Linked DNA regions of Rattus norvegicus. The protein of the gene in region 1 purifies or fractionates together with the protein of each later gene. This does not show direct contact. Links are inferred from orthologs where the notes say so. Each region holds a gene or a part of one and is shown in the gene's direction. Other genes may lie near its edges. The genes, in order: Kdm5b and Pax9.

The links.
Region 2: the proteins of Kdm5b (region 1) and Pax9 purify together in Homo sapiens (affinity purification with western blotting, with the first as the bait; 3 studies listed by BioGRID). This does not show direct contact. The link is inferred for Rattus norvegicus from reciprocal best matches to the Homo sapiens genes KDM5B and PAX9.

The regions. Positions count from the first base shown.
Region 1 is NC_086031.1:48,620,373-48,623,599, forward strand, and holds part of Kdm5b (lysine-specific demethylase 5B), read left to right. Parts: intron 1-200; coding exon 201-312; intron 313-1,507; coding exon 1,508-1,662; intron 1,663-2,893; coding exon 2,894-3,214; intron 3,215-3,227. UniProt on the Homo sapiens protein: Histone demethylase that demethylates 'Lys-4' of histone H3, thereby playing a central role in histone code. Does not demethylate histone H3 'Lys-9' or H3 'Lys-27'. Demethylates trimethylated, dimethylated and monomethylated H3 'Lys-4'.
Region 2 is NC_086024.1:79,924,678-79,928,496, forward strand, and holds part of Pax9 (paired box protein Pax-9), read left to right. Parts: intron 1-1,514; coding exon 1,515-1,657; intron 1,658-3,819. UniProt on the Homo sapiens protein: Transcription factor required for normal development of thymus, parathyroid glands, ultimobranchial bodies, teeth, skeletal elements of skull and larynx as well as distal limbs.

The DNA.
Region 1 (3,227 bases):
TCTTACCCTATCAAAGCTTAGTAAAGAGTTACACAAGCACTGAAAGGTGGTATGATCTGTTCGCTTGCAGAGAAAACACGGTTTGTTTCCCAACCTCTGTGAGGTCAGTCTGAGTTAACTTGGGTAGTTGAATGGCTTTGTTTCTGTGAGGGTGGAAGGCCAAAGCCTCGTATCGTAATAAGCTGTTTCTCTTCCATCAGGTGTCTCAACCTCCTGGCACAACATCCTTTTCATTGCCGGAAGACTGGGACAACAGAACCTCATATTTACACTCTCCCTTCTCTACCGGTCAGAGTTGTATCCCCCTTCATGGTTTGTATTTTATTTTACACTATTCCTAGATAGGCCTAGGCTTTGTAGTAGATGATCTGGTATTCTAAAGAACCTCGTGTAACACGAGCATTCTGGAGGCAGAGGCAGGGTGATTATGGGTTCAAGGCCTCGGGGATACAAAGCAAGGAAGACCTGTTACTGTACATTTTCTAATAATGATGTTCATATTTGAAGATCTAATGTAAATGTAAAGGATACCAGGATGCATCGGCTACTCTGATTTATTTAAGGATAAGAGATAATCCAGTGCCATTTACCACCAAGGACCATGCATTCAGGGCCCATGCTAAGTCGTAGATGCCAACCTCGTTTGCGACTTCTGGCAGATATTGAAAGTCACTCATTTTAAATCTACCTCCTTTCCTCTTCCCTTCTGGGTGGCCTTAAATTCATTCTTTAGTCAAAATTATCTCTTCTTTTAACATTGTTATTTTGTGTGTATGGTGTTCTGCCTATGGTTTGTCTGGACCATGTGCATGCAGCGCCTACAGAGACTGTCTGGGACTGGAGTTGTAGACAGTTGTGAGCCACCACGTGGGTGCTGGGAATTGAACCCAGCTCCTCTGGAAGAGCAGCCAGTGCTCTTGATTTCTGAGCCATCTCTCCAGCCCTGGAAAATGATCTTGAAATCCTGGTCCAGGCTCCTCTTACCAAGTGCTAAGATTACAAGTGCGCGCTCTCAAACCTGGCTTTCTCCTCTTCGTGTGTATGTGTGTGCAACACGGGCTTCGTTAGGTAATGTTGGCCACAAACTCCCCGTGTAGCTGAGGGTGAGTTTGAGCTTCTGATTCTATTTCTAGTTCTGAAGTGCGGGGATTAGAAGCGTGTACCACCATTCATAATCCTCGTTTCTTCAAGAGTTCTTTTTCTCGGTGTTTAGTCATGTGGTCCGAGCTCCTTGCTCTCCTCCAGTTGGTCATGCTCCGGGTGACAGTGAAATCTGTCGGTTGCGATGGAGTGGGTTTTCCCCTGTAGCCAGAAGTATTAGGGAATCTACTTTAGCCTCCCTTTGTCGTATTGTGGTTTAGGTACATTAAGTAAACCTAACAAAACTGACTACAGTTAGAGGAATGGTGGAAGGCGGTGTGGAGATGGTCTTCTGTCCCTCACAGGCTTACCAGTGCTTGTATTAAATGTCTCCATCCCCATTCTGATTGGATGTGGCTGTCAACAGGTTTGAGTCCAGAGGTGAATGAATTGCTGATGGAAGCCCAGTTGCTCCAGGTGTCCCTCCCTGAAGTCCAGGAGCTTTATCAGACTTTACTTACGAAGCCAAGCTCTGCTCAGCAAGCCGACCGAAGCTCACCAGTCAGACCCAGCAGTGAGAAGGTGAGTGAGCCTCTGAAGACCTGCCTCGGTGTTGTACTCATGTCGTTCTAATGATTTTACAGAGGCGATGGCGGTGTCTCTGAGCCACAGGAGCGTACAAGCTGTCCACCTCCCAGGTCTACTGGACAAGGACACATTGCACACCTTTGCCAGCAGTTTGAGTGTCACAGCTTAGATCGGGGTCCTCAATCTTTACATCTTTTTTTTTTCCTCTTTAAGGGAACTTTTCTTACCTCTCCCATATGATAATATTGCGAGAAGTAGGGTTATCTTCCTCTATAGAAGCATTGCTATAAGGATGAAAATATAATTGTAGCTGAAAGAGCCTTTTGTTAGTAAATATTTTAAAGATGCTAGATAAGAGATGCTTTCCATTATCCCTCCCAACAAGTAGGTGGATGCAGCCAGTACTGCAGGTGTAGGGCTGAGGGTGCTTACCCTGACAGAGACTCGGTAGTGTCTCCCATGTCCCTTTCATGTGTATTTTTGTGTGGTATGTTTATATGTGCAAACTCTCACATGTGCATGTCCAGGTGCACCCACCTCACACGTTGATTCTGAGTCGTGGATTGCTCTCCAGCCACCTGATTCTCTGAAATTGGATCTCTGAATTGGGCTCAGAGATAGCAGATAGCCAGGCAGACAGGCTACCACAGCCACTGAGTATTGACATGGATTTGGGGTCCTCTCTTGCTTTTATGGCGGATGCAATAACTTCTCTCCAGTCTCTAATGTCCCGGGTCTCTGCACTGTTAAGGAGCTTCTGCTCCCTTCTAGCTCTGGGAGGAGCCGTCACACAGAGTGCCCCCGAGAATATAATCAGGATGAAAAACATACTAGGGAAGCCTGAAGCCACAAGGAAAAAGATCCTTACGAAAGGTGCCCTGAAACACTGATCATAGCCCACCTAATCATCTCACTCCTCTAAGGGTTGTAAGAGGCGTCCTTCACAAATGCTTGGCGTAGCCCACCTCACTGAAGGATTTGGGGAAAGATGTGTCTGTGTGCTCTCAGGCCTCCTTGAAGGTTGGTTGTGTCGTTACTGCCCTTTCCCCGTGTTAGCCCCAGCTCAACACAGTGAAGACCCAGGCTGTGAAGATGGTTTCAGTGGTTCGGATCAGTGCATTCCCGGGATCCTTTGGTTTCTCATTTGCATATATTTCTCTAGTTGCATCAGTTTTAGTAACGAACAGACTGAATGCTAAAATTGAATTTGCCATCTCCCACCCAGAACGATTGTCTTCGAGGGAAACGAGATGCAATCAACAGTCTTGAGAGAAAACTGAAAAGACGCCCAGAAAGAGAAGGCCTTCCCAGTGAACGGTGGGATCGAGTTAAAAAAATGCGGACCCCTCAAAAGAAGAAAATCAAACTGAGTCACCCCAAGGACATGAACAATTTCAAATTAGAAAGAGAGCGTAGCTATGACTTAGTCCGGAATGCTGAAACTCATTCCCTGCCCTCAGACACATCCTACTCCGAGCAGGAGGACTCTGAGGATGAAGATGCCATCTGTCCAGCTGTGAGCTGCCTGCAGCCAGAAGGAGATGAGGTCAGTGAGGTTT
Region 2 (3,819 bases), on another chromosome or scaffold:
GGGAAAGTGTGAGATCAGCAGAAATGGGGGCTCACAGGGGGATCTCAATTTCTTAAGATAACTTTAGACTTATGCCCACCGATTGCCTTTTGTCTGGGACGGCAGCAAATAGCGTCAGACAGTAGTTGTGAATCAGTCATGGCTTCCTGGTACAAAAATGGGAACACAATCTTTGTCTTTGGAGGGGGAGACAAAATGAAAATAGGCTGACAGTAGAAAAAAAAACTTTTCACCTCTGCATAGTCCTGCAACCAGACCGAATGTCAGGTAGGGAGGAATTGGAGTAGAGAAGGCAGTGATGCTTCCGGGTAGATAAGTGTTGTCTATTTGTGATGTCACTTTTAAACAAGCAGGGTTCTGACAAATCTGTGCATGTAAAAGGGTAATTTCTCCAAATGACCGCTCTTTGAAACACCTGTATCAGATGGGAGTGTATAAAATCAAGTATAAAAGACACTGTCAAACTTCTATACATGGGGCCCAGAAGCAGAATTAGATGCATGCAATCTTCAAATATCTTTTTTCCCCCATATGCAAACTGTAGATGTTATGAAAATCTTTTAGGGGGGGTCTGTATCTCCTTTAAGAACAGAAAGATTGGTAGATGGTTTTGCTCCCTTTCTTAACGTTAAATTCTACTTTCATTTTCTTTACACTTTATTTCATTTTCTCTATCTGATGCCTAAAAAAAAGAACATTCTTTACAATTCCACCGTTGACAATCGCGGTATTTCCAGACTTAGTTATTTAAAAAGAATAGGCATATACCCTTACTTATTTAGCAGGCAGTGGCGATGTAGGGTAGTCCTGAATCCATACAATGCGGGAATCTGTGTACTTACATTTTGCATAGGTATTGTGGGCATCGCTCAGTTATTTGTTTGCAAAGGACTTTGCGGGCCTTTTGTTCTGTCTTATTGACATAGCTATCAGATCCCCACAGTGTAGTGAGCATTTGTCAGGTTGTTTCTGCGCATCACCGGGTCACACTTGGGCCAGGCCTCCTCTCTTCCTCATCAGTCCTCCCCACTGGTCATGTCTTTGCCACTCTCCTTCAGTAGGGACAGAGGTAAGGAACAAATATCCCATTTACAGGTTTGGATTTTTTTCTTCTGTTTGGGAAAAACAAACAAACAAACAACAAACAAAAATCAAAACAAGACTCCTCTCTTTCAATCCGTTCCCTGGGAGATCAAGGAGGAAGAAAGAAAATCTAATGCTGCCTTAGGAAACGAAGAAAGGAAAAAAAAAAAAAAAAAAAAAAAAAAAAAACATCCGCCAGGAGTGGGTGAAACTTAACTCAGAGGCCTACTTTCAGGCCATTAAAACTTCTCCAGGCCCTAGCCTGAAAACAGAGGAGTCTGCGCCTAGGCCCAGCGTCCTTAGGAGGCCTAGTGCAGGGGAGTGGACCAAAGGTCTTAGCCTAGGACCTTTGTGGTAGGGGATTCGGGTCTTGTCTCAGGAGGGGGCGCGCGGGTTGAGCCCCGCCTGAAATCTCCCTTCCACCTTCTCAGGAGTGAGCGACAGCTCCCCCTACCACAGCCCCAAGGTGGAGGAGTGGAGCAGCCTGGGCCGCAACAACTTCTCTGCTGCAGCCCCGCACGCAGTGAATGGATTGGAGAAGGGAGCCTTGGAGCAAGAAGCCAAGTACGGCCAGGTGAGGAGGAGAGGGCTTAGCTCGGCGGGCTGCCTGCTGTTGGGGATTGGAGATGAGGGACGCCTTGAAGAGGGAGAAGTGGCTGCCGACCCACTGGGGCCGGAGATGGATCCCGGGTTGGCTGAGTCTGGGCTGATGCCTGGGTTAAAGCCTAGCATCCCGCCGCGCCTGTGGCTCCAAACCTTCCAGCCCAGCCGGGTTCAGTCTATCCAAGGCCGAGCTTCGGCACGGCCAGACTTTGGGGTTCAGAGCAGCGAGCGCCCGGCTAGCGGGCTGCGCCTGGAGGCCGGAGTCGCAAGGCTTGTGGGAGGCTGCGGGGTCATGTGCACAGACAGCTCCCCCGTGCTTCCAGACATCAGCTTGTCCGGTGAGAATGGAAGAGGGGCAACCAGATAAACGTAATAAAGTTACCATTTCCCGATTAAAGGTCACATCGTAATTTCCCAGGGGAGGTTAGTGAGAAAACCTCAAATTATACGGACTGGCTGTGGACCGTTTAATTCCCCCCTCCTGCCCCCCCCTCCCCGTCCCTCCCTCTACTCTCTGAAAGAAAATTTAAAACACTGGTGTTTCTTTCTTTTTTTTTTTCTCCTCCTTGAGAAGAATGAAGCAACAGTCACACAAAAGTGTGAGTCCAAATTTCGTCAGTATGCTAGAATGAAGAGTTCAAAACTCAAATGGCAAAACTTCAAGGCAGTGTGCCTTATTCCCGAAGTAGACCTCCAAAGCCTCAACGTACTTAGTCTTATTTTAGAGCCTTAAATTTTTTAAAGTGTCTTCTCAAAAATCAGTTATAATATTTGTTGGAATTTATTATTTTTATCTATTGGGCGGATATCCTAACCATTTTCGCTAATAAATCGCATTTTGATTTCCTCGTCTCTCTCAAGGTTTGTCAGAATTCATTAGTAGCTAATTTCCTGGCAAATATTACCAAAAACAGCAAGGAGAGAGCAAGCCGCTTTTCTAAGTCTGGTTCCACTGTAAAGAATACCCGTTAGGTATCTATAAGCAAATTCACCATTTTCTTTCGCAAAGACCTGCCTATAACTCTCAGCTCACTGAGCGGTGGTGTGCGCCATGATTAAAAGCTCGGTAACCCACCACAGCTTCTTAAGCAAGCGGTTTACCCATTTAGAGCCTCTTCATTTTCTTAGACTTTCTTCATTTTCAAAATAAGGAACTAGTAATTCCAAAGTCAGAGTCAGTACAATGTTAAGGCTCTTAGGAAACATTCATTAAGTATCCCCTGTGGTTAAAAATGGCAGTGAGAGACTTTTTACAAGTGATACACATAATATTCATGGTTTAGAAAATCTATAGTAAGAAACATCCTACCAAGCATCTATGACAAACAATGGAAAATGTACAGAAAGCCTGGAGAACAGTAGCAGGTATTTAACAGGAGCTCTGCGCTGTCTTGGAATCACATCATGAAGTTCTGAGTTCAAAATCAGCCCCAGTTCCCACAATCCGTCAATCCATCCCGTTTGCATAAAAAGCAGCTTCCTCATCGAAAACCTTCCTAGCTACTTTCACTTCCCTCTCTTGAATCTCTCAGTGAAGCTTGTTTAGAAAGGGCTAATTTAAAATATGCTTCAGAACTAAACTTGCAACTTATTTAAAATAAATAGCATTTCAAGTGAATGCCATTTCACTAAAAATCACTCACGAAGAATTTTAAAGTAGTAAACAATGTTTCATAAAAGCAAATAACTTCAGGAAAATGGGTGGACAAATAAATGTTGTTCTAAATATTATAATACTTAAGAGAACAGGCCCCCAGATAAAAGGATACTTATGTCAAGTTAATATTTAAACAGTTCTTACTGAAATGTTATTCCATTCTGCCATTTAGGTAGATAATTCAAATGACACAGGATCATAAAACGTTCAGAGTTTCTAAGCACAACATGAATCAGTGGATACTCTTATGACAAAAGATATGTTAAGGAGACAAAAACCTCACTTTAGAGATTAATTTGGTGTAAAATTACATAAAAATGCTTAAGAACTTAGAACACACAGGATTTGCATATGTGTGTATTTCTCTTGAAATATTCTAAAGCTAAGTTTAATTTTACAACACCCCCCCCCAAACACATACACAGTGTTGTCAACATATTCTGATAAAAAGTTAACTCACGTACCATTTGTCTCTC